Saccharomyces cerevisiae S288C: one gene and its partners. Changing the gene in region 3 together with the main gene of any one other region gives a genetic interaction. Each region holds a gene or a part of one and is shown on either strand. Other genes may lie near its edges. The genes, in order: TCA17, NEJ1, DIA1 and INM1.

Region 1 (6,288 bases), on a different chromosome or scaffold from region 3:
TCAAAATTCACCCATTTTTCACTCTCAAATCTGAATCTAAGTAAATAGTGGCAGTGAAATCCGGATCAAAATTCAGTAACTTTTGTGATATCTCACATTGACATACCACGGTCGGAGGTGAATTTCTTCACCATTAACATATAATATGATCATCTATGTAAATTTTATTGCTGTTATTCTATTAGTAGTAATGATCGAAAATAGTAGAGGTATCAACGAGGTCAATGGATCAAAGAATGCCTTGAACCTGGTTAGTCTATAAATTTTCGTTTACCTACGTATGTCATATTCAACGTTCTTTCTTTCTCAATTTCTGCAATGATCCCACCGGAGTATATGAACGAACTATTTTATCATTATAGCTAGCTCTAAACGGCTGCAAAAACTAATTCCTTGAAACAATGTGCCATTAATTATCTAACGCGTGCTTCGTCCTACTGATTATTATCCCTTATTCGTTTGATTCACATAGTAGACAACTCTTGATCACCCATATAGTACCAGACGACGCTAATTCAAAATTAATCGACATTACGCATGTTTCTAATTTGGGAAAAAAAGGCCAAGCTCCGATATCCCGTTTAAGGTCAACGCTTGAACAGTGGTTTCTGAACGAACACTCATATCATATTACTTCGACTCAACTGCTGAGCTAGCAGACTGGAAATATTTCAGGGACTCAAAAAAGGTTCAACTAGTCTCCACTGTAAGCACATTCTTGCATTCTGAATATACGAATGAGTATCATTAACTCAAAACCGCGCCCTCTTATACGAGACCTCCAAAAATGGATCGTTCATGAGTAAAGGCATCTCAATAACAATAGCAATAACAATAATGTTCATGAGGTGAAAGGTGGCCCCTCGTTCATGTAAGAGAAGCTGGCCGAGAAATTCATATAAATTGAACTGCTTTGGTTACCTCTCTTTGGTATATGCCTCCACTCTTCTCTTCCTAGTTAAGCTTATATCAGCACAAACAAAACAAATAAAATGGTCAAATTAACTTCAATTGCCGCTGGTGTTGCCGCCATCGCTGCTACTGCTTCCGCAACCACCACTCTAGCTCAATCTGACGAAAGAGTCAACTTGGTTGAATTGGGTGTCTACGTATCTGATATCAGAGCTCATTTGGCTCAATACTACTCTTTCCAAGCTGCTCACCCAACTGAAACCTACCCAATTGAAGTTGCTGAGGCCGTTTTCAACTACGGTGACTTCACCACCATGTTGACTGGTATTGCCCCAGACCAAGTGACCAGAATGATCACCGGTGTTCCATGGTACTCCAGCAGATTAAAGCCAGCCATTTCCAGTGCTCTATCCAAGGACGGTATCTACACTATCGCAAACTAGAGACAAACGCCAATTTAATGAAGGAAATGCTATGAAACTTAGATAATGAAATAAAAAAAAACCCTTTTTTTTTTTTTGGTAGTATAAATATCTTTATACGTACATACGTGAACAATCACATCATATCTGTCAATTCTCGTTGTAACCATAACCTAGCACTTATTTCAGACTTTCCAAAGGTCGCAGTATCTTTATGACGAGCCATCCCATGTAAAAATTGCCGTGCCGGATATGAAGTGACAAAGATCAGTCTATATCTCGGAAAGCCAACAAATATCTTCATTATGAAGTAACGTATAGTGATTGCTTCCACATCTGTTCAATTCGGACAATTTTCGTTAGCAGTAGAGTCAAAGCGATCGCCTTAATTGTCTCCGTATCTTATTTATTCATGAACAGCATGACAATTGACAGTCACTTGAATGAAGTAGAAAGTTTGATTGTCACGGTCATCTGAGATATACTACCGGCACCTGATCCCCGCTAATTAGGCAAGGCGAAACTGTCACCAAGTTGGACATATTAGACATTAATAACTTCTCTGAATCGCTCTCACTCCAAAGCAGTGACATTAAATTTTGCTTTCATTCGTGAAAGAATCGACTAATAAATTATCATTTATAATTCAACTTCAGTTGAAATAAACAACTCATCAAATTTTCTTTCCAAGCTTTTTATAATGGACTTTTCGTCACCGCTAACAAGTAAAGGATTACATTTGACACGTATATAGATTTTTCTTACGGTTTCGAAAATCTGATTGATTGCTTCAAATTCATCATCAGCTCCACTTAGGCTTTTTTGTTCAAATCCAATGACAATCTTCAGGCCCGTCTGCTTAATCAACATAGCAAATACAGAGACACCTTCCAATTGAAAAATTGACTTCAGAAGAGGTTTGGAATCTAAAGAATGCCATTCAACCAAAGCACTTTCAAAATAATCTAACGATATGTTAGAAAGCACGTTATATTTGAGTACATCATTCATCTCATTCTCCGCCTCATTAGGGACGTAAATCAATATAGGTTTATCAGATTCATCTATCAATGATACGAAGCAAGGCCTCAAGCTCATAGTTTGGTGATATAAACGTACAATTTGATTTTTGGAGAGAATATTTACTCAATTTTCAACTCAATAACTTTTATGTAAAATGTTTCTTGGCCGTCGATGAGCTCTTCCGGCAGAACTTCGAAAGTGAAAAAAAAAAAAAAAAAAAAATAATAATAATATTAATACTACTTATATACTATTAAAAAATCGTTTAGAAATGATTCATTTATAAAATTCGTTACTTGCGGTCATTGGCAATAGATTCAGCTGCGGTTCTCCCAAAGACAACGCATTCTAACAAACTTGAACCACCCAACCTATTGGCGCCATGAACACCGCCAGAAACTTCACCGGCCGCGTACAGGCCTTTTAGTAGCCTTTCGTCGTTCTTGCCAATGACTTGAGCCTTGACATTGATTCTAGCACCACCCATGGTGAAATGGACAACCGGTGTTACTTCACCAATAAAAACCACAGTTTCTGGAGTAACGTCAGAGCCAAATTCGTTGAGAATAACGGTACGTCCCAACGGATCAGCCTTGGTAGTGAAGGAAGAGTATGTTTGCAATTCCTCGCATAATTGGGCGACAGTGATTGGTAAATTATATTCAGAAACAACTTGAGATAATGTCAATTTCTGTACAAGTTTCTTGAACATGTAAAAATCTAAATTATTCTTCAAATCTGTGTACATTTTTTCGCCCATAACCAATAGTGCTCTGTTATCCTCTTGAGGACAAACCTTTTGAATAGCTGCAGTGACTACATCTCTTGTGGTCAATTCGTTGACAAATCTTCTACCGGTAATAGGGTTTAATAGGATACCACCAAGACCTCTTAAGGATTCGGCAGCCAAGAATTTCCAGCTTGAGCTACGGTCATTTGGATCAATGAACCCAGTTGGATGAACTTGAATTTGGTCCATGTCAATCAGATCAGCGCCTAACTTCTGCAGAAGCCTTTGACCATCACCAGTTGTTTGTTGCCCGTTTGTTGTTGGCAAGTTCACCAGTTCGGGTGCGTATTCTTTAAGCATTTCCTTAGAAAAGCCAAACCCTCCAGAACAAAAAACGACATCGTTAGCACTCACCATGTGCTTTTCGCCATTCTTGTCCTCGTACACTACAGCAGAAATGGAGCCATCCTTTTCATGGATGTCTACGACTTTACTGTCTAAGTTAATCTTAACTAACTCTGGTTTAGTCTCAGCTAATTTCTTCAAATTGTTAGATAAGGCAGAAACAATTTCGAAACCTGGAGGCAACTTCCCAGACGATCTGTGAGTTCTTGCCACAGAGTGGCCACCCAATTGAGCCAATAGGTCCAATTTCAAATCAAATTCGTTTTTCAACCATTCAATAGCCAGGGGAGAATCATTGGCCAACTTAGCCATTAATTCTTGGACACCTTTACCTTTAGCAGACTTGATGGTGTCATCTTCAAATAAGCGTGGGGAGTCCTCGATGTGGAAGTGACGTTGAGTCTCGGTGCAAGCACCGTTAATACCACTGGAGGCCTTGATAGAGTTCCCACCGATCGAGGAAGCCTTTTCGAGGATGGTTACAGGGATGTTATACTTGTTAACCAATTCATTGGCAGCAGCCAGCCCGGCCAAACCGGTTCCAATAACAACAACGGGAGAGAGAGACATTTACAATTACGGATGAGGGGTTGTTGAAGTGAAGATAAGAAAAAAAAATGGGGTGCTATGTCAGCGTATTGTTCTCAGCTTTTATACGTGCAATAGATTAAGCTGTTCAGGAACGCGACGCGTTGCCCCCGTTACCGTTTGAAAAGAAAAAAATTTTCTTTTTCATACCTGTCTCTATTGTTTCAGTCATTCACTGCATGATGACAAATGAAAGAAGAAAGACAATAGTAGTAAAAGCAAAAAAGGAATTAAAGTGAACGTTTTTTAGACTCTTACGCATACATATAAATATATATATATATTTGTATAAAAGGTGTACGTCGAAATCCTGTGAAGAAACCCTGCGAGAATATACATGGGTACATTCAATCTTAATACGTAGTATCGTAGAATACAAAGAAATGTGCTTCTCCACGTGGATACGTACCGTTGTAAACTTTAATCAAGTACCAAAAAAACCAAACATATTCAGTCGATCTCTCAATGGGGAACAAAGAAAAGAGGTTCTTACCTTTTTTTCCTCCTTCCCTCAGAAAGACCACCTTCGTCCCTCCATAATAGGGTAGTTAGTCGCTAGGTGCGCTGGAAACTAACCATTGGTTCTCAAATGTGCCGACATAATTAGTTATAATTATGGTGTGAGAGTTGAAATATCCTTGAATAACAAAACAGAAAAAAGAAAAAACCCATTTGAATATAAAAATCATTGATGCAAAAGAAAGCCGTTAAATCTACAATGCCACGAAATTATTGTAATGTATGAAAAAAAGGAAGAGGGTAGCAATCCTAAAACAAAAACCCTAACAATACACATGATGCAACTGGAACGCATCAGTATTTGTAGGTTTTTATTTCGCGGATAGCGTTGCCATCAACGTCGACCTCGGTGGATTCACTACGGTAAATCTGGGTAGGTCCGTTACAGTCGAAAGGATGTTCTTTAGCATAGTCGAAGGCCTCGGAGATGGCCAATTTGACTTTTTCCAAAGTATCTCTGGTGACTTGATAGTGGAACGAGACTCTACCACCCATTAGCTTAACGTTGTACTTCAAACCCTTCTTAACAAGGACATCTGGGTCCATTCTAGCGGCCTTCAGGTTAATAAAGACAAAGTTGGTGTCTGCTGGAGACTCTAGCGGGATGCCCTTTGCCTCACAATATTCGGCTAATTCATGAGCCAAAGAGTGCGAGTACAGCAATTGGGACTTCCAATCGTTGTTGATGTTTACAAGAGCCATTCTAGCCATCATACCAGATTGTCTAATACCACCACCTTGTTGTTTTCTGAAATGGGTGGCCTTCTTGACAAACTTAAGGTTCCCAACCAAGACGGACCCAATAGGAGCACCCATAGACTTGGATAGACAGATGGAGATGGAGTCGAAGATTTCCCCATATTGCTTTAATGGCACGCCAGATTGTGCAGCGGCATTCCAGATTCTGGCACCGTCACAATGTAGTTTGAGACCATTTTCCATACACCAAGCTTTGATGCGGACCAGTTCTTCCAATGGATAAACAATACCGTGTAAAGTGTTTTCCAGAGAAATCAATCTGGTGGGGGCACCGTGAATATCACCGTCGTCTGGGACGTAGTGTGACTTGATGTCTTCCAAGGTCAAGTAGTCACCGTTGGAAGGAACCACAGGAACCACCATCGCTTGAGACAAGATCGCCAGTCCAGCGGCTTCGTGAGTGTAAACGTGAGCCCTGTAATCACATAGAATAGAGTATGGAGGTTGCATCAAGTGAGTTCTGATGGCAATCTGGTTGGACAAAGTCCCAGAGACACAGAACAAACCTGCTTCTTTGCCAGCCATGCGGGCAACGGTCTGTTCGAGCCTAACGGTGTCAACATCTTCACCGTAGACAGCGTCACCGATAGAGGCCTCTAAAGCGGCCTCCATCATCTCTGCAGTTGGAGTGGTGAATGTGTCTGACCGCAAGTCGTTAGCAGCGGTGATATATTTTGGAGGCAATTCGAATTCAGTCATTGTGTTTATGTTTGCGTTTGTGTGCGGGAGTAAAAGTGAGTGTAAGCCTAGGAAAGGAGGTGGTTACGAACTAGCCAGCGGAAACAATGTACGTATATGTATGTAAGTATTACTCTATACCAGACAGAACAAGATAGACGAGAAGGACACATGGAGGATTTGACAGGCAAGCTCAACACTTGCTTATATATATACACATATGTGCTATTGCAAATGCAAAAAGCGTATATC
Region 2 (4,788 bases), on a different chromosome or scaffold from region 3:
AAATCGATTGCAAATAATATAAACGTTGGTAAGCTCATCTAAACAATCGAAAGGAGGGATAGAAGACAGTAGGTGTTTGTGCTTTGGTCGGTTTTTCCATTCGGTGAATTCATACATCTCCTTTATTAATTTTAATGGATTCTTTACAAGGGATTTTCGGTTGCCAAAAACAGAGAACAAATGCGTAGAAATACTCAATGATGTCAATTTTTCAAAAAATGAATTAAATGATTGAAGTCACTTAATTTTTGTGGTTTTTTGGAGGTGGGTTGAGTGTACAACTCACTATAATTGATGAGATATTCGACGAACTTGTTACTTTTTTGGATTCCAGAATGTTTACTGAATTTTAAGAATTAATTAATTTGAGGCTAACCTGTATGGCATGGAATAACGAATCGACAAGAAGTCTCTTACTGTAACTTTCTTTTTTTTTGGTGCATCTATCGTTAAATACAATTTAAATATTACATTCATGTACTTACTCAATATAATAATCTGATTACTTCATACAATAGAAGAGAAAGAAACAGTCTCTAAAACTGCTGTCATAACGCGTGGTGTTGTGGTTTTGCTTAATTTTTTTAGACCCATGCACCAGATATTGATCCAATTTTTTTTTGTGGCTCTTTTGCCAATCGCTCTTATTAAGTAAGTTTACATCCGCGGTTATGTTTTGCGTCTAAATTTCATTTACAGTGATGGCGAGCTTGCGCGGCTATTTTTTATGCAGTTTATCATTTAGACACTCAGAAGCTGCAGTGATGTAAGATACTGCTTGAAACTACCGTTAGATTAATAATAAACAATTAGAACTGTCCTAATACATATAAACTTATATGCTCCCTATCAATGGCATAACGTTACCATTCAATAAATTAACATTATCAATGCGTCAACAAAGGAATAGAACTATTTGAAAGGTCCAACCTTAATTTTTGACGTTTAATTGACTTGCCTTAGTTTTTTATTCTCACCTTTCCAAATTTTCTTTTTTTCTGTGGGTATTCTTCGACCAAAGAAGAACTTGATTTTGTTTTTTCTGGTGTAGCCTCAGATTCAGAAAAATTCTCCAGGCGAAGTTGCGAACTGGTACTACTTTCTCTAGATTTTGGCTTGAAATCTGTCTTTGGTTTAATTTTACCGCGGCTATTTGGTCGAGCCTCATTTGTAGGGTCTGCTTGCAATTCAAAATCATCATTATAAAAATGATTCACCGCAGGAAATCTGACGCGCTCTTTTTTGTTAAGTTCTCCAGATTCTTCAAACCGCGACACATCTTGAAATTTGTTTCTTAAAGATAATAATGTTTTTAATGAGTCCGCCAGAAATTCTTGATGCTGGAATTTTCCTTTATGTAGTAATTTTTTGATTATGTCATCGTCTGTGCATTGCTGCAGAGATTCATAATTCTTAGAATTTTCAGGAGCCCATTGACTGATAACTTTACTCCCACCGTCTAAATCACGAAGAGAAATTAAAAGAAAATCTAAGCATTTTTGCTTTTCATTCAAAATATCCCGTTGTACATAGTGGTATTGGGTGGAAAGGTTTACCAATTTTAATAAAAGCATGCATAAACTTTGCAAAATCATATAGAACATATCCTTAGTAACATGTGAAGGTACGCTATTTATGGAAACTGTAATATCCGCAGATACATCGAAACTAAAAACCAAATTTGAATCTACCAATCCAATTTGGTTAATTTCTTGAGGAGCTTGTAGAATGTCCATTAGTTTTAGTTTAATTAGATTTAATGATATACTATCCGTAAAACCTTGGCTCTGGCATTGCTGTGATAATTGAGTTTGTGAAAGTTTGAAAACGTAGGGAACTAAGCGCTCCAAGGAAACTAAAACAATCATTACAATTGTGGTTGGAGATGACATCGGTAGAAATAATAGGAGACAATTTCCCTCACCATTAATTTTTTTAACACACCATTCTGCATCACTTAGCTGCTGCCCTTTCAACTCAGAATCCATCACACATGTGTAAGATTAACCTCCTATCTGGCCGTTGTTATGGTTATTCTCCATAGGGTTTCCACTTATATGACACTATTTTGTGTTTGCCCGCTGCCAACACTATCATCCCTTTTTGGGACGAAAAAATCCATGTAAAAAAATACATCAATCATAAATACATTTATAAATCGAAATGATATTGTTTATAAAATTTCTTTTTGTCAATGGACCAAAGGTCTTTGGAAATCTCTTTGAACGTTTTCCAAACATCATTAATAAAATCTTCAATCATGAGATCACTGAAGTGCTCCATATTAATGCCCTTTTTCAGCCAAATTTTTTCAGTCTCTATTCTTGCTTGGGACGCTTTATCGAATAAAACCCTACTTACGCGTTCAAACGCCAAAGTTGAAGTTAACTGATAAAAATTGGAAACTGCTTTTAACAATCGCTTATTTCTTTCATTAACAGCAAATATGCTATCAATAATTTCGTAAAATCTTATTATTGTTCCTGAAAATGACAGAAATTTATCAGTCCTAACATCGAATCCTGTCAAAAGTTCATCAAAGTTTTCTTCTTCATATTTAATGAATTGTATTTTTTTCCCAGTGTCAAGGTCAATAAGGAAAAGGAATGCCTTCTCCCTGAAGATTAACCTATTAAATGCTAAACTGTACACTTGCGATACTATTCGTATTAAAAGTGGATTGATTAGAATAATAGACAGTTTTAGCCCTTCAGTTAACACGTTCTCCTGGTCGTTGATAGGCTCTTTAAAATGAAATACCATTGTATTAACACAGACTGATATGGATATCAACAAGAACTGAACCATTCTGTTCTTATCTATGATTCTGCTTTGTTGAGCGATGATCATCTCAATATTGTATATACTAGCAACTATACTTAGAGATCTTGATAAAATCAATATATCAAAGGGATCAATATCAGAGTAGTAAACTGAATTTGTATAATGTTCGATAGGTGAAAAGTTAGATTGTATAAATTCAATCAATCTCAATGAAAAAGTGGTCAATTTTTCGTTCATCTCTCTCTTGTGAATTTCACGAGTAGTGAATCGGGAAACATCTAAAAAATCGTGCATTAGCTTAACTCTCCTAAAGTCAATACTCGGTGATTGGAAATTCTGCGCAGTAAATATACTTAAGTCCAAAAGATCATCTGAAATAGACGGAGGATTACCTATATCATATGAGGTGGATACATCAAGGAATAAAGCCCAAAACCAAATACACCTCAAGTTTTGTTTGGTTTCCTCACTTTCGTTCAAATACCATTTATCAATATCATTTAAACCCAAACTTATGCACCCCTGGCATAGCTCGTTGATTAAGTCAACGCCTTGAGTCGCATCCCATACACCGTCCGTGCAATTTATCATTACACTAATATAGGACAATAAGAAAAATTGTAGTTTTTCCACGAAATTTGAGCTCGATGATGACAAGGACGCTGCACTTAAAGTGTGAAGGAAATGACTCACGGAAGAAGGGATATCTTGGTTATAATAGCCCAAGCAAAGAATTTGAAGTACAATGCCAAGATTATACTTATCTTTTGCATTACCTTGCAAATCGAGGAGGATGACTAGGTTCTTGTCCGTGGTATCTCTAATAAAAAGTCTGTCCAAGAGGGACAGAATATCGTCTTGGTTGAAGATATGCAATATGCCGAACAGCGGTCCAGCAAAAAAAGATTTAATACAGCTTTCCATTTGAGGAAAACTAGGCAAATCTGCTACAACATCATTTTCATTTAATTGCGATTTAGTGCATTCAGGAAGTGGTTTCAAGACTTTCCATAAATTTTGAAACTCAGTTTGAAACTTATTTTGTTCAAACAAAGATAAAGTTTTCCAGGAAGTGGGGCCAAACACATACCTCGAGCCATTATCACCTAAAACCGAAGTTCTCAGTGACCGTAATGGATTTTCTGAACTCCTGCAATACACCGGTTTCGCATTATTGTTATCGTTTTCCTTCAGTAGAGTCTGCAAATTCTCAATCTTCTGAACCAACGCTACATTGGGCACTTGCTCGAACAGTTCCGTATTAGACAAGGGATAGTTGAACTCTTCTGTGTAAACGCATTGCGGTAGTTTTCTAATTACACATTGCTGACACATAGGCCTGGCCTGACTGCATTTCAGTTTTCTTTTTCTACAAAATGCACATGACTTGATGACCTTCCTCCTCTTGCCCTTCTTACCACTTGAAACGGGCTCTCCGGTAGTAGATTTCATAGGAAAATGGGATCCATCCATCCCAACAAACTAAGTGCCGTTTGCCTCTTTCTTATTCGTCCCGTACCAACCACGTGTTTTCCACCTGTCATGGGCTTTTCAAGAGTTTGTCAACGCGGAAAGGCGCCGCATTGCACCTTGTCGTGATGTATTCTAAGTACAAGTAGTAAAGAAGTAATGACCCTGTTGTTATTGCTCCACTGCTGACCGCTGTTAATGCCTCTTCATGATTTCTGAGTCATTGTTGTACCCTCTGGCGAATAAGCCACTGTTGGTTTTGTGTGCATGTTGGAAAGGCGTTGCAACGGACTGTAACTCCACACACGAAAGAACCCTTAATTTTCAGCCGCTCGTTATTTTATTCAGTTGATCATTTCTTGTATAAATAGATTTAAGCAAATTTAAAGTTGATGATTCTATCTTCACAGCTAGAGCTCTACGTGAAATTTGTGCAATATATAGGCTGTGATTTCGAAAGTTATATATTCTCCGGGTAGAAGTGAAAAGGATGGTTGCCGCTTTAACGTATTTGCCTACTGAGCTTATCCAAAG
Region 3 (8,445 bases):
TGGTCTCGCCAAAGAAACAATGAAGTTATTAACATTGAATAGTTCCGTTAACCTAGTATAGGGGCTCTCCGTTATGCTCGGATTGTTGGCATTTTCTGGGGTAAGAAATTTGACTTGTTTATTTTTATTGATGTTAAGAAAAGGCTCAATTTCATTTTCTAAATTTTTACATAATAGTGATGTATCCTCTGAAATTACACCAGAACCAAGTGAGCATTCAATGGCTGACTTGATTAATACGTTTGGGGTTGTCACATAATTTAGTAAATTAGGGCATGATTTATCAGTTGGATGAATAACAATATTGAAAACTTTTCCAGTAATTTGATAAACTTCTTCAAAAGTTTTTTCCTTAACAATATATTTCATAACAAACCGGATAAAAAGATAAACGTCTTGAGAATAACCGTGGTGTATTAGGTTCTGAATCAAAGTCCCCAGGTTTAGGTGCTGCTCTAAATTACCGTATCCACAGCTTTTTAATAAATCTACATCATTCTTGATGATATTCAAGAGGTTGTCATCGGTCAATAATTGCTTTAGTTGCTCATTGGACAAGCAACCGAATAAACTTGCAACGCATGCCCCCATAGAGCTACCACTTATAATATTAGGCATCAGGTCCTGTAACAATAAACCTCTAATCACCCCAAGGTGAAACAGCCCAAACAATGAACCACCTTGCAAGATTAATGCTGTTGTGCCCAGTGACAACTTACATCTTTGGAAAAAGGATGTTGGAGTTAAAGTTTGATTATTTAATATATCCAAGCCTTCTAGAATTCGGGTCAAATATTGTTCAATAAGTAGCTTTGTACCCATCAAAGATTTTGTGAACAACTTTTTATCTCCAATACCCGCAAAGTTCCTCAACATACAAGGGCCTGTAGTCGAAAACTTCTCCTTAACTACATCATACTTCTCCTCCCTTAACATATTTTCCAATATGCTATATTGTTCAATGACAGAATTGAAGTCGTACCTCCTCGAAAAGAAATTCCGCCGCCATAAATTTGCGCCTGTTATTTCATCCACTACGGACGCTTGCTGACACCACATTTGATACGTATCACACTCATCTAACTTCTTAATAGCGTTATAATAAATGACTCTTGAGTGTGGCCGCACATAGTTAATCAGCTTTTGAACCCAGAAGAAATAAATATCGGTGATGACATGTAGAATTTCCCACACAAAAGGAGGTATATGGTCCAATGTGGCATACACTACACGCAGTATCCAGTTTTTCAAAAGGGTCGGTATTACAGCAGACACCTTGTATTCCTGCGCCGTTTCCTTCATGCTTAACGGCAACTCAAAGATGTGATATATGAATAGATGATTCCCTTACTATTGTGTCATAGTACTTCTCTATGTAATCAGTACTAATTTCTATTAGCTGCTACCCAGAAAAAAAAAAACATAAGAAAAAAAGGGTTAGGGTTGAATTTTCAGACCTAGGATAAGTATCTCCGAAATTACTAAAAACCTAGTATTTATTAAAATGCCCTACTAAAAAAGTAAAAATGACCTATAAAGAACATACCCTATTATAGAGTGGCAAAATTAAAAATTCAAAAGTATCGTCAAAGTATGGAAAAGAACCAAGACGCCACTACATTTAGGTAGACGTGGTGATCAATTGAAGTTCAAGAGAAGTGGGTAAGAATACATTGAACTAAGCCTTCATATATTTACAAAACATGTTCAGGAACAATTACGACGGGGACACAGTCACTTTTTCTCCTACAGGCCGTCTGTTCCAAGTGGAATACGCCTTGGAAGCTATTAAACAAGGGAGCGTCACTGTGGGGTTACGTTCGAACACTCATGCTGTTTTAGTAGCGTTGAAAAGAAATGCAGACGAATTGTCATCATACCAGAAAAAAATCATCAAATGTGACGAGCACATGGGGCTCTCGTTAGCCGGGTTGGCTCCAGATGCTAGAGTTTTAAGTAATTATTTGAGACAACAGTGTAATTACTCCAGCTTAGTTTTTAACAGAAAGCTTGCCGTCGAGAGAGCAGGTCATTTGCTTTGCGATAAAGCACAGAAAAATACACAATCCTATGGGGGCAGACCCTACGGTGTTGGTTTGTTGATCATCGGGTATGACAAGAGCGGTGCTCATCTTTTAGAATTCCAACCTTCCGGAAATGTCACAGAACTATATGGTACAGCTATTGGCGCAAGAAGCCAAGGGGCAAAGACTTATCTAGAGAGAACTTTAGACACGTTTATAAAAATTGACGGGAACCCGGATGAACTAATCAAAGCTGGCGTCGAGGCTATCAGCCAGTCTCTAAGGGACGAATCCTTGACTGTAGACAATCTTTCAATCGCCATCGTGGGTAAGGATACGCCTTTTACAATTTACGATGGAGAAGCTGTTGCTAAATACATCTAGGTCTGGACACAAAGTATCGTTTCCACTAAGCAATTGTCAAAGCAAGACCAAAGAAGCCTTTCACCACGGTCGGGGTTTTTTTACATATAAAGATAATAATAGATTAACTTAGTACGTAGTCTCACTTCTCATTCAAAATTAAAAAAGACGTGGCTTCCAAATCAACTAATAACCCCGCTTAATTCCGCCCTCCGCCGGGGAATAAACGGAGTTATCCCCTGTTGAAAATTCAGCATGATTATGTATCACAATACATAGGTGTTCGTCTATAAAAAGAACTACTTATTCTGGATAAACTTTCGAACTCGCTCAAACCTATTTGTTTCTGTACATCGAATAGACCCATAATCACTTCTTGGTTCCAAAAAGTAAAGTAATAGCCAAAAATGTCCCCATTGAACGTCGGTATAGTTGGTACAGGTATTTTTGCCAGAGATAGACATCTCCCATCCTACCAGGAATTTCCTGACAAATTCAAAGTCATTGCCGCCTTCAACAGACATAAGGCAAAAGCTTTGGATTTTGCAAAGGTTGCTGACATACCTGAAAATAAGGTTTACGACAATCTAGATGAAATTTTGAATGACCCTCATGTCGACTACATTGACGCTTTGCTACCTGCTCAATTTAATGCTGATATTGTCGAGAAGGCAGTTAAAGCAGGTAAGCCAGTTATTTTGGAAAAACCAATTGCGGCCAACTTAGACCAAGCAAAGGAGATTGTCAAGATAGCAGAATCCACCCCATTGCCCGTTGGTGTGGCTGAAAATTGGTTATATTTACCATGTATTAAAATCGCAAAGGAGCAGATCGAGAAAATTGGTCCTGTAGTAGCATTCACCCACAATTCTACCGGTCCATTTGTTACTCAAAATAAATATTTGACCACAACCTGGAGACAAAAACCAGAGCACATTGGCGGATTTCTATCTGATGGTGGTGTCCACCAATTAGCTCTCGTTATTTCCCTACTCGGTGAATTTGGATCTGTTTCTGCATTAACGAGACAGGTGCGTGAACGTTCCGGTGCAGATGATATTGTCTTTGCTACTGTCCAGTTGAAAAATAAAGAGGTTATCGGAAGTTTTACTTATGGGTCTGCCTTTGGTGCTACCGAAAAGTCGGTTTTCTTGAAAGTCTATGGTAAGAATGGTACCGTTACCGTTGACTTATCAGACAAAAAAGACCCCGTTGTAAAAGTCAAATTAGGGGGTTCAGCTGAAGATAACGGTGACGAACAAATTTTTAAAGTCGATAATGATGAAAGTTTCGGCGTCAACGCTGAATTTTTGAATTTTCACGAAGCTGTCAGCAAGAAGGACAAATCCTTATACCTAGGCACACCCAGAACTGCATTTCACCATTTGGCTTGTGTGGACGCGTTTTTAAAATCTTCTGCCAAGAATGGTGACTACGTTAAAATTGAGCAGCCATGATTACCGTTTTACGATGTAACGCTTTTTTAACCTTAATAGATAGATTCCCTCATATATTTATAACTATGTACCCACATAAGTATACTTTTGGAATGATAATACTAACGAGATAAAAAACCGTTGAAAAATTTCTAAGTTTTCTTGAACTAAAAATAGCCAAAATTCTCCATCCACTTGTTGTTGCAAAATGTTACGAAGGCGAGGTTCTTGGAAATCTGGATGATTATGGGAAAATTCGTTCAACAAGAACGCCGAGCCTGGACGAAATACTTAGTCGGCATGGAACTAGTTATGAATGACTTTTCCTATATAAGATCTACAACCGTTTCCAATTCACCATGAGATATATATATGTTTAACGAATCAGGTACTCGTCCGAAGCATTTCGAGTAATGCAACCCCACAAGTGTCCCCCAAGAATTCACTGGGATTTTTGATGACCGAAAGAAAGCTATTGCAGCTGCTACGGCGTCCTTTCATCTCCCTTTCTTTATTCACGGCCTTAAGAGCTTGTCCGCTTCGCCCCAAAAGCCTAATTGCTTAGAGCATGAGAGTTGAAAACGACCAGAAGTGTCGTTTTAGGTAAGCATTCGGCCATAATGAACAGTAAGTTTGTCCGAAAAATACACCGCTAGGGTTCGATAACGAAGAGCGCATATCAATTGCGTTGTCGACTTAATTGCTCTCTTAGTACAACGGTATGTGTCAGTGATAAAATCCTACCGGTTCCACTTTTTGTGAGCGATAGATGACGGAACGTATGCGCCTATTTCTTTTTTTTGGCGCAGCAAGGGACAATGGTCCCTTTTTGAGAAAATGTTGTAGGCTTGGCCATCGGCGTGAACGCATATAAAAAGAAGACTGCCAACATGACAGTATTTGAAACAACTACAGATTTGGCAAAGTTCGCCAAGATAAAGAAGACCGAAGCAGGTGCTAAGCTTCCATTAAAAGTTTTTCAAGAAAAATCTGATTATGGGTTCAATAAGTAGATACCTTCTTAAGAAAGCAGCAGATGGGCTTAAAGATGAGCAGAGATTGAAGATTGAAATGTCCGATAGCAAAAGTGTCCCAGAGTGCTTTCATTTTAATAGGGAAAGAAGAATGCCCATAGCCGAGATAAACGGCGAGGATGGGTTTTTCATGTTTCCGTCTCAGCAATCGCTTGAAAATTTTGAAAACACTAAAAAGTATTCGAATGAGCTGAGTCCAGATGCAATTGGTATTCCATTATTCCAAATTATCAATTGCACTCTACCGTTTGGTAAAAGAGGTCATAGCAATACTGTGGTCGGCAATGTCCCATATTATAAAATTTTCAAATTTATTTTAAGAACGGCAGACGAACCTCCGCCTTATACTGTGGCAAAAATCGTTTGCTCAAACAACGGATTAATATTGTATAAAGTGCCTCTTTACGACATATATAAAAATGTCAGCCAAGCAAACGTAACTTACAGCTTCGTAGGGACTACGTCTACGGAGCCCAACTTACTAGCAATGGCTCACCGAGAAGGACACAGGGATTTGGACACTAAAGTGAATAATTTAAATCTCAGGTGGCATGTCACTTATTCGCCCGTAGTTACCAACGATCATTATAAATTAATTCTGTTAGCAGATTATGAAGTGAATCGTTTGGATGAAGATGTCATTAGAGCCGCTAAAAATAAGATGTCCATCGACCAAAAGGATCAAAAAGTTCAGAGGTTCGTGGCAGCTCATTATACTAGAGAATTTGAAACATCTCTTTTTAGGTGGGTCGCTCAAGAGGGCCACTTAATTCTTGGCGAGTATTCCACAGATCAAGGATCATTTGGATTGAATAATATCCCACCATTGACGGAAGAACTCGGGTGTCAGAGCCTGCTCATACATTACATAGAGTACATGAAGAGACAACGTAAAAAAATTGCGAAAGAGGCAAGGAGACAAAATAAAAGAAACGTTGCAAACACGACTAACATGAACATGAACCTCATGTAACAAAAGTTTGCGTATAATAAACCAGTATAGATGTGTAACTGTAATTTTTAACTTATCACAAGCTCGTTCCCTTCCTGCGTTGAAAAAGCGGGACAATGCCAGAATATAAAAAAAAGAAGAAACTTTAAACCCTGTCATATCTTGTCCGAGATCTCGTCGTTCTTGTTTAATTGATCTTCTTCGTATACTGCCAAAGGTGCCAAGGCACAAAAAAGTTTAAAGTGGCACGGGCTATTGCGTCACATAAAGCCCGTAGCGCAAAAAAGTGATAGCTGACTTCATTAGATCACCAAAATGGAAAAAACTTCGTGAAGATTTCTTTTTATCTTCCTCACAGTTTTTAACTTCCGGGTGTTATACTCTCCGTTTGAAAAGTTGATTTTGTTAACTTTCCTCTTTCCTTTTGGAGTAAAAACAATATCCTCGATAGGCAAGACCTTCCTGCACCGCTATGGCGGCCATTTTGATTTTTCTTTACTGTGGGAAGCAAGAACTTGTTCAGGCGCCTTCCTGGATAAGCCATCTTTTTTCAAACAGTTTCTTCTATACGATAGGAAAGTCGTTGGCCAATCGATTAATTAATTGAACAATAGGAGCCAAATAAGCAGGATATCTTCTTTCGTATACCGCCTGCCTCATTATTCAGAACAAACACGAGTGATCTGACACTATGAAGTTAGCAGTAATCCTTTCTAAGAGAGGTGGCCCAAAATTCGAATAAAATTAACTTTCCTTACCATTTAGCCTCTATCAAAAAGGTTCTAAAAAGTAATATCACACAGCCGAGCCTAGGACGTCACCTCTTTCCTACACAGTTGACATTACTTATGTACTCAAAAGGACGTATGTACCAAGGAAAGCATAGTTTTTATTCAAATCGAGTTTTTTATTCTTATATCCTGCTTAAAAGTGGTGATTAATGAGGAAAAAATGACAGCAAGAATGAAATAGTATGTAATTTCTTTAGATTTAGCGGTGCCCGTGCCTTCCACGCGCAACTGTTCTCTCTAATTTACTATTCGCTTTGAACGTAAAATGTGCTTTAGTTTCCCAGATGTAGCTCAAGTATTATACCATCTTTTGCACCTACTTTACTAAATTCATCTCAGGTATAATTGTATCGCATATTCTATTTTTTTTGACATTTAATGCAAAATTGTGTACCTTTCGTTAAGGCGAATTTTCTGGACCATGCGCAGATCTGATCCAAAATAAACTTTTTTTCATGAAGCTCGTTTGCGATCATTGCCTGTGAATTTAGCGAAGGTGTCAGTCCACGGCGACTTAGAACTCACGTAAAAATAAGCATCTTGCTAAGACTGTTCAGCAGTCAACAGTAAAGTTCTGAAAACATGTTTTCTTAGTCTCTATCTTTGCCCATGTTCCTCTCAAGTGGAACAAAGCTAAAAATGAAATATTAATTTTATATAAAGTCTCACTCACACCTGTGGTAATTTTGTTCCCTCAGATTTGTCAATGATTCTGTCATAGAAAAGGTATCCACAAGAAAGGGTAGCGCCGTATCAAAATGGGTTCATCTGGTTCAAAATCGACCACAGCCACTACCACATCGCATAGTAGCACGACTACTACTAGTAGCACAACCAGTACAACTACGCCTACTACCACTAGCACGACAAGCACGACAAGCACTAAAGTTACAACTAGCCCAGAAATTATTGTCAGTAGTTCTAGCACATTAGTTTCTTCTGTTGTACCCGAGTTTACTTCTAGCTCGTCGCTCTCCTCTGATACAATTGCCTCAATTCTATCATCGGAGTCATTGGTTTCCATTTTTTCTTCTCTTTCTTACACATCATCCGATATTTCTAGTACATCAGTCAACGATGTCGAATCATCAACCTCTGGCCCCTCAAACTCATACAGTGCGCTTTCCTCCACAAATGCACAACTGTCCAGCTCCACTACAGAGACTGACTCCATAAGTAGTAGTGCTATTCAAACATCTTCCCCGCAAACCAGTTCATCAAATGGAGGTGGTTCCTCTTCGGAGCCATTGGGAAAGTCCTCTGTCCTTGAAACTACTGCTTCATCTTCTGATACAACTGCAGTCACATCCTCCACATTTACCACGCTTACTGACGTTTCATCTTCTCCAAAGATAAGTTCCTCAGGATCGGCTGTCACTTCAGTTGGTACTACTTCCGATGCCTCAAAGGAAGTTTTTAGTTCAAGCACGTCCGATGTTTCTTCCCTACTATCAAGTACTTCCAGCCCCGCAAGCTCTACTATTTCTGAAACCCTACCATTTTCCTCTACAATTTTATCCATCACTTCCAGCCCAGTAAGTTCAGAAGCTCCATCGGCAACGTCTAGCGTAATTAGTTCAGAAGCTTCATGGGCAACGTCTAGCTCAGTGAGCTCGGAAGCTCCATTGGCAACGTCTAGCGTAGTGAGTTCAGAAGCTCCATCGTCAACGTCTAGCGTAGTGAGTTCAGAAGCTCCATCGTCAACATCTAGCTCAGTGAGTTCCGAAATTTCGTCAACAACATCTAGCTCAGTAAGTTCAGAAGCTCCATTGGCAACGTCTAGCGTAGTGAGTTCAGAAGCTCCATCGTCAACATCTAGCTCAGTGAGTTCCGAAATTTCGTCAA
Region 4 (8,394 bases), on a different chromosome or scaffold from region 3:
TACGCTATCATGGGACCTGTGGCACATACCAATTTTTATGACTATAGGGTTTTTGGAAAATCTGTGGACGATAACGTTGTATGTTATGGAACACTAAGTACAACATTAGAAGGAAAAATGGTAGAAACGGAAACAAACCCTCATTTGAACATAGAGAAGAAGCAGGGTATGTTATGTATTCGTGGTTTTAGCATAGGTAAACCAGTAGAGTCCGATCGTTTAGAGAAAGCTTTGCATTTAGCTGAAAGGTTTGGAGGAGGTGAAGGATGGATGCCTCTAGTTGGCGTTTTTGGACTATTTGGCCAAGACGGTTGCTTATACATCTATAATCAATGAGCATTATCTATCGCTTTATTATTTATTATTTATTATTATCATTATTATTATTATCATTATTATTATTACTACCAATACCTTCTATATCCCTGTGATCAGCTAAAATGATTCAAATAACTGTCATTTTAATCGTACATTTTATATTAGGCCTAATGTGCTGACGATCAGTCATATTTCAAATGGCCATCAACACAGTTCCAAAAGTCTGTGATATATTTTGTTTGTTCGTCACTTTCGTTATTAATTGTTCCCCTCACAGCCAAATATGTCCTATTGTCGACATCAATACTCCATTCACCTGGATTGGCACCTACTACACGACCGCCCACTTCTTTCAAAATACACCATCCAGCACACACGTCCCACGAATAGCAACCACCATCCCAATAACTATCAAGGTACCCCATAGCAATATATGCCATTGTCATTGCAGATGATCCTAAATTTCTGAATCCATGAACAAAACCGTAATCACATGATAGTAATTTTTCATATGTGGCCATTTTTGTCTGAAAATTCTTTCCCTCTCTAGCGGAACCTGGCTGTAATGCCACTACGGATTTATTTAGTATTAGAGAACCCATAGATTCCAATTTTGATTTATAGTCATAGTCCTTGTTGTTAACTCTCATCCCATTTCCTTTAGAAGCGGATACCAGAAGATTAATGTGAGGATTATATATAACGCCTACTACGGGCTCTTTGTTTACTGTGAGCCCAAGAGAGGTACAGCTAAATGGGAAATCATGAACAAAGTTTGTAGTCCCATCAATTGGATCAATAATAAAGGTAGGATCATCAGTAATCACGGTCTCCCCTTTCACATAACTTTCCTCTCCAATAAACTTGAAAGTTGGATATTGGGTTTTTACCGATTCCCAAATTAACTTTTCGACCTGTTTATCGATAGCAGTTACAATATCAACGCTCCTGGAGCCAGTCTTCAAGTCATAATCCTTTTGAGTGCCGGACTTGGATTTGATGATTGGTCCTACTTTTTCAGTAGCCAGTTCACAGAGGAATTTCTCGATAGAAGCTAGATCAATGGTCATGGTATATGTGTATATGCGTGTACCAGCTGTTGATTTCCTTATTCATCCAAAAAAAAGAAAACACTGGGGTTATTTAACAAGCAGTTAAATGTGAAGTAAGAGATAAAAGACCTATATTAATACCATTTTTGGAAAAGCAACGTGCGCAACAATGAAAGTCACTCGATGCATCCATTATTCAAAAAAAAGTTTTTTTTTTTTTTCCATACATCATCAGATGAAAAAATCTCGCTATGACGCACGCCAGTCAATATTCACTCAGTTCTTCCGAAAGGAAGCAGAAGAAAGTTCTCTATACTTGGAAATGTGTCAATGAAGATGTTATCAGATTCATTTTCTGCTAGCTACTATATTTCTACATAAGCAAGTAGTAATCTCTTTATTAATTACACGTGGTTTTGACTCATTGGCATATGTATATATTTGTGTTGTAGGTGCTCGTGAAAAAAAAAAGCTATTGATCATACTCATGCTCACGCAAGTAGGTAGCAACGATTTCACGATCTCTGCTCACCCATTGCGCCTTGGATCTAATAGTGTCTAAGGCTTGAGCCAGGGTTTGATCAAAACCTTTAGTGACCTTTCTACTATAGAACGCACTAATTTTTTCAAGGGCTTCAAAAGAGGTAAAATTAGTTAAACCCAATGTCAACACGCCACCCAACACAGGCGAGCCTGGCTGTAATCTCTTAGCAATTTCGTCCCAGTGTTCTTGCATCCAAGCCCATAACCTTTCAATACCCTTCTTATGAACTCTAATGCCTTGCATTGGGATGTAAAAATCTTGATTCAAAACTGTACCATCTAGCAGATAAGACAATGTCCTTTCTAAAAGTTCTTTGTCTTCAAATCTGCCCAAAGCTCTCAAAGCGATAATCTTTTCTTCTGACGAAACAGGGTTTTGATAGATGTTGAAAATCTTTTCGTAATTGTTTTCTCCGCCAAGTCTGGCAACGGTGTTGAAAACAACTGCCTTGAACAGTGCAGGTATGGCCTGTTTGTTCCCATTGGCGTATTCCTCAAACATTTCTACCGCAATCGATTGCATTTTTTCATTGCCAGAAGTGCATGCGGCACTGAAAAGGGTCACTTTTAAACGTTGGATAGCAAAGGAGTCGTCTTCGCCAATATTCCACCCCAATTCAGAAAGTTTGTTAAGTACTAGATCCAAAGTAAATTTATCTAGAGCATTCAATATATCCTCTGGTTCGAAGACCCAAGTAGATTTCAGAGCGGATAAACTATTAATGATTTGTTCCCAAACAACAAATGAATCCTCGTTTTTCCAATTAGAAATTAAATTCAAGAAGTTAGTAGTAGAGGTATAGCCAGATGCAGAAAGGGCTTTTGCATCTGCGACTAAGCCAACACGATCCTCTACGGATAATAAATTTGCCTGTTTGGATAGCTTAGCCCATCTTTCGTCAGAATAAGAGGTAATGAAAATACCAGATTGGTCACCATTAATCTTGAAGAACTCTTCATTCTTTAATTCGAAAGTAGCAGATTTTTCGTTCAATACCAATGTGTTATCGATACCTGTACTGTCTTTCAAAGCTAACAAAATGGGGTATATGGTTGTATCTTCCTCTTCTTTAACATCACCGGTACTTAAATAACGGTGTTGAGTTAATGTGATTTTGTTCTTGTGTTCCTTGACAGATAACACTGGAAAACCAACACGTTTTGTCCAGATGTTCATCACCGAACAAACGTCCTTGCCAGAGGCATCTGCTAAGGCGTCCCACAAATCTCCGGTCTTTGCATTACCGTATTTGAATTTATTCAGGTATTGGGACACACCTTTAATAAAAGTCTCTTCACCCAACCATTTGGAAATCATCCTCAATAAAGAAGATCCTTTAGAATAAGAAATAGCATCAAAAATTTGATTGATTTCGTCCGCATTATTAACGGGAACTTCAATTGGATGGGAAGATCTTAATGAATCTAAATTTAGAGCACGTTGTAAATTGTCAGTAACATATTGCTCCCAAACTTTCCATTCTGGTTGAAACTTGTTGCAAGAGTACCAAGACATCCAAGTGGCAAAACCTTCATTCAACCATAAGCCTTCCCACCAATCCATGGTGACCAAGTTGCCGAACCATTGGTGGGCTAGTTCATGCTGAATAACCTCAGCAACTCTTTGAATGCGATCTAAACTCGAATTTTCTATGTCTAATAACAAATCAATAACTCTATAAGTCACTAGCCCCCAGTTTTCCATAGCACCAGCAGAAAACTCATGAACTGCCACCATATCCATCTTTGGCAATGGATATTCTATGTTGAAGGTGTCCTCAAAGAATCTCAAGGTCCTAGCAGCTAAATTGGCTGCAAACTGACCAAATTTTTCGTCCCCTGGGGTAGAATAAACTCTTACTGGAATACGGAAATTATTGCTTTCCACGTATCTCAGGTCAGCTACAATAAATGCTACTAAGTACGTAGACATCTTTGGAGTCGTGTTAAAAGTTGTATATTTCTTACCCTCTTTGATTGTTTCATTCCTGACATCCATGTTGGACAAATGAGTCAGAAACGATTCAGAGACCAAAGTTACTGCAAAAGTCGCCTTCAAATTTGGTTCGTCAAAACAAGGAAAGGCTCTTCTAGCATCTGTGGCTTCCATCTGAGTAGTAGCCATGTACTTCGTCTCCCCTGTGACTTTATCCGTATACTTAGCCCTGTAAAATCCCGCCATCTGATCATTTAGAATACCGGAAAAGATAATTTCTAACTTCGCAGAAGGTCCTAGGTTTTCAAAAGTTCCATTAGGAAAGACAAGAGTAGCTTTTTGTTGGTTTTCGTTTTTGTTAACTTCAATGGCATTGACACCCTCAATACGTGCAGAATGGAAATCTATTTCTAAGTAATTTATTTGCACAGAGTTTATCGAATGATCATTAATCTGCAGGTCAATTTTTAATGACCCTTCAAACGTAAAAGCACGGAAATTAGGTTCTAGTGTAATGTCATAATGCAATGGGGTAACGTTGTTTGGCAGTACTTCACGGGACATGGTATTAGCTGAGAGGGCAATTTGGCTTGCTTGAACAGGAACCCTCAAAGAAAAATCACGAATTGAATAAGCTTCCCTGAAGATAATTCTAAATGATTAGCTAAGATTACTCATAAAGTCAAAAGTTTGATCGCTAACAAAAGGGAAAAAAACGGAAAAAAAATAAAAAAATGTGTCAAACTCCCACAGCCAAGTCCAAGAGTACGAAAAAAAACTTTCACAACGAGTTCAAAAAATGTGGGATGAAGACTCCCGTTTTTCACCGCCTAGAAAACAGCGTTTGCTGAGAAAAAAAATAAATCATCGAGAAGAAGTATGTCATCATAGGATGTTCCCATTGTAAGGTGATGTGTAACATACTCGAACAAAGAATGTATAGAGCTGAATATTTCTCCTTTAAATTTCAAAGAAAATGAGAAGGAAAATCTCAAACAGAAACTTCGTTCTTTTTCTCAAGTAAGCAAAAGCTTATTGAGACAAAGCGGAATAACTACGATATTAATAACGTTGATGAAGCTCGAACAAAGTTAGCGTCGGTTATGCTTGCCTATATAAAGATATATTTGCCTTACATTTTCGTTGAACGTAGAATGATTTTTGCTTTTAATAAATTTTTTGTTGTTCTTTCAGTGCTTCTTCAACTTTGATACGAAAGCAAGTGCATTAGTACAACAAGAACTGGCCACAACTATACTATACTCATTTTTTCTTGCCCGTGTTTTAAATGTTTTCATCCACAGCATTTGATGGGATGATTGGAAGTGAGACGTTCGAGAAAATCCATATTTTGAGTCAAGAATTCAGATAATATACTGAGATGATTAGGTATGGCTGGGTTCTACAAAAACACAAATATCCGGCTAGCAATGATCACTGAGCAAATTAAAGCGTTAACTCACTCATTATTGTAGCTTATGCGTTTCTCCTCCTCTCTTTTTTTCCTCGAACCGGAGTGGAAGATCCAATAACGTAATATTACTGATGTTGTTATTAAAGCTGGCAAAAATAACATGAGGCGTAAAACCGCACTGCGGTAAGATGAGGGTATAAGGTGGAGATCAGGCGAACAAGCTGTTCTAAATCATACATATGTACAATGAGAACGTGTAACGATCCAATGAGCGTTTCATGATGCCATTGTTTAATCAGAGTGATGAAAAAGAAATATTTGCGACCTTTTTTCGTTACATTGATCGTGAAATTTTAATCAAAGATAATATAAGGACGTGAGATATTTATCTTTTTACTTGAAATTAACAATAGAATTGCGCTAAGCGGAATAAGAGCTTTCGTAAACCTTTCTATTTGCACCATTGCGTCAACGTATAAAATGGTATGACCTTTACACAAACGCATGCTTATAATCTTATGTTTTTCATAGGGTGTAATTTGGTTGATGACGTAGTCTAAATTTGATGCTATCTGCAATTGAGGTACATATAAGAGGTCAATTTCGGGACCAACCCTTTTAATCGAAAAAAACGTAATTCACTAGGGCAAGGGAGAACTTAGCAGCTAATATCGTAAACCTTTCATACTAAAAAAATGCACTTACCATCAACAAAAAACTCAGGACCAATTTCCAAGCTTTTCTAGGTGATTGCCTATAACACAAAAAGATTCGCTCATACATGAGATTTTTACATGTAATAGCAATTTGTTCCGATCAGTTGAAGGTCATCAACGCACGGCAGGTACATCCACACCTATCACAAAGCCCTTCAATAATTCACCTACGTAAAGTTATACCGAAACATGCAAAATCCATGAAAAATTCTGTATGATAACGATCATATCCTTTTGTATTGGTGGTACGATGCTCAAAGATAGTTATTGTTGCACCTGAGGCAAAAGCGGAAATGAAAAATCCAGATGGGGCCAAAAGCAGAAGTATTGTGTACAACAATTGCTTCAGCAGTTTACCAAACCGTTTCCCAGCAATCATCAAAAGTTGCTTTAGCCACATTTCCGCAAGATATCTTTGTGGCTCAACGAAGAGGGCTATTCCAAATGCAATACAATACTAGCCGCTAGTGATCCATGCTTATAGGCAATTTGATTGATAACTGGCCGTTCTATTAAGGAGTCAATGCTAACCACATATAATGCATATAGGATTTGGCCTCTGCTGACCGTAATACTAGACAAGGAATATAAAACAACAACGTAACCCAGCATAAAAACGATATAAATAAAAAAAGAAACCAGATCATAAAGTTTGAGGGCACATCCCTCATGGTTTCAAAATCTCGTACATTGACTCAAACCTCGAGATCTTGTTTAAACGAACATAAGAACAGCGGTACCAAGTGACACATTGCGTACTGTGTAGTATGCGCCGTATATAACTTTTTTTTTCTGAAGGTACTTTGAATTACAATCTATTTTTTACAGTTCCTATGGCAGGGGTTGAAGATATTTGGGTCTGAACCATAGCAGGATTAGTGTTATAGTAGGTATGTGAATAGAAGCTAACAAAATGAGATGAACCTCATACAAAGTCGTAGAGAAAACTGCTAACAGAAGAGCTGCGCCTTGAAATCGTATCTCTAAGCTTATAATAAATTGAAAGGAAAAAATACGTGGTAAATGCAAGCGACCAAAAGGCTACGGCCCAACGCTAACCCGCCGATAGGTGCATAATCTAATTTACCTCCACCAGCAGGAGCCCTTTTTCTAAGTAATAAGCAAACCAGATAACTTACATCTTGCTGTAGGAAACAAAAGCCGGAATAATGGTTCACTCATATTCTTCGTGTGAAACACAGAAGAAATCCAATATTTGCTTCAGTATTTATCTCTAAAAATTGGTCCTACATTGGAAACCATAAACCAATTATAACCGGTGTACGAATTGTAAGCTAGTTCTGGAAATGTCATGTTGCGCAGGTAAAAGTGGAGCTGAATTGTATATCTGTTTTGATCATTATTATCCCTCTGGGTGAGTGGAAATATCAATAAAATGCAATGGCACATTTAATATCCTTCTCTTAATTCCGTGATTTATAACATCTTGATGCCAGAAACACCTTTCGGATCCGGCAATAAAGCGGAGATTAGCACGCTTTTCGCCGGTCCTACGGATTTAGTGTTGGCTATTGTTGAGATTAGTAATACGCAGAGAATTTTTCTACCGGTGAAGCGACCATCTCAGATTATTAGGTCAAGCAATAACACTTGTTATTAGATGCGTTACGTTCACCTGGACCCTATATAAAGGCATATTTGCCTTACATTTGGTGTATGGTATCACCTTGTATACTAAGAACATATATATGCAGATATAACAACAGGATATGGTTGCAGAATTTCAAATAGCGAGTGCACAGTCATCGGCATTGACATCTACTGAAGAAGAGCATTGTTCAATAAACTCAGACAAAGCCGCAAAACTGGATCTGGAATTGACCAGTGAACGAAAAAATGACGGCAAACAATCGCATGAAGTGACCTTCAACGAGGACATCGCGGACCCAGAAGATATAGCACGGCATATGAGCACCGCCCGCCGGTATTATATTTCCTCGTTAATTACATTCACATCGATGGTAATTACGATGATCTCGTCCAGCTGGACGCTTCCTTCAACGCACATAATCGAACACTTTCATATTTCGCACGAAGTCAGCACTCTGGGAATTACGCTTTATGTGTTTGGGCTCGGTATAGGACCTTTATTTCTGTCTCCACTAAGTGAACTATATGGACGAAGGATCACATTTTTATACGCCCTTACGCTCAGTATCATATGGCAGTGTTTGACCATTTGGTCCAAGACCATTACGGGTGTCATGTTTGGCAGATTTCTATCCGGGTTTTTTGGTTCAGCCTTTCTAAGTGTGGCTGGCGGCGCCATTGCCGATATATTCGACAAAGACCAAATTGGTATTCCTATGGCAATATACACTACATCGGCCTTTTTGGGGCCCTCTTTAGGACCAATCATTGGTGGAGCCTTATACCATCAAAGTTATAAATGGA

The links.
Region 1: mutations in DIA1 (region 3) and TCA17 together harm fitness more than expected from each alone (negative genetic interaction), as found in Saccharomyces cerevisiae (one large-scale study listed by BioGRID).
Region 2: mutations in DIA1 (region 3) and NEJ1 together harm fitness more than expected from each alone (negative genetic interaction), as found in Saccharomyces cerevisiae (one large-scale study listed by BioGRID).
Region 4: mutations in DIA1 (region 3) and INM1 together harm fitness more than expected from each alone (negative genetic interaction), as found in Saccharomyces cerevisiae (one large-scale study listed by BioGRID).

What each region holds. Positions count from the first base shown.
Region 1 is NC_001137.3:62,736-69,023, forward strand, and holds TCA17 (Tca17p), read right to left. Parts: upstream 2,433-6,288; coding exon 1,974-2,432; downstream 1-1,973. Other genes in the region: seripauperin PAU2, read left to right, coding at 993-1,355; FRD1 (fumarate reductase), read right to left, coding at 2,650-4,062; threonine aldolase GLY1, read right to left, coding at 4,894-6,057. UniProt on the Saccharomyces cerevisiae protein: Required, together with the TRAPP II subunit TRS33, for TRAPP II complex assembly or stability, and for proper Golgi localization of TRAPP and the Rab GTPase YPT31.
Region 2 is NC_001144.5:673,468-678,255, forward strand, and holds NEJ1 (Nej1p), read right to left. Parts: upstream 1,989-4,788; coding exon 960-1,988; downstream 1-959. Other genes in the region: YLR264C-A (uncharacterized protein), read right to left, coding at 361-477; PDR8 (Pdr8p), read right to left, coding at 2,152-4,257; BOP2 (Bop2p), read left to right, coding at 4,745-4,788. UniProt on the Saccharomyces cerevisiae protein: Involved in non-homologous end joining (NHEJ). Facilitates the transport of LIF1 into the nucleus, where it can interact with DNA ligase DNL4 to repair double-strand breaks (DSB). Mediates mating-type regulation of NHEJ.
Region 3 is NC_001145.3:900,006-908,450, forward strand, and holds DIA1 (Dia1p), read left to right. Parts: upstream 1-4,819; coding exon 4,820-5,830; downstream 5,831-8,445. Other genes in the region: TGL3 (bifunctional triglyceride lipase/lysophosphatidylethanolamine acyltransferase), read right to left, coding at 1-1,302; PRE5 (proteasome core particle subunit alpha 6), read left to right, coding at 1,704-2,408; YMR315W (uncharacterized protein), read left to right, coding at 2,795-3,844; YMR315W-A (uncharacterized protein), read left to right, coding at 4,281-4,388; YMR316C-A (uncharacterized protein), read right to left, coding at 5,657-5,968; YMR317W (uncharacterized protein), read left to right, coding at 7,359-8,445. UniProt on the Saccharomyces cerevisiae protein: Involved in regulation of invasive growth.
Region 4 is NC_001140.6:196,898-205,291, forward strand, and holds INM1 (inositol monophosphate 1-phosphatase INM1), read right to left. Parts: upstream 1,389-8,394; coding exon 501-1,388; downstream 1-500. Other genes in the region: DDE1 (Dde1p), read left to right, coding at 1-336; AAP1 (arginine/alanine aminopeptidase), read right to left, coding at 1,843-4,413; YHK8 (Yhk8p), read left to right, coding at 7,710-8,394. UniProt on the Saccharomyces cerevisiae protein: Responsible for the provision of inositol required for synthesis of phosphatidylinositol and polyphosphoinositides.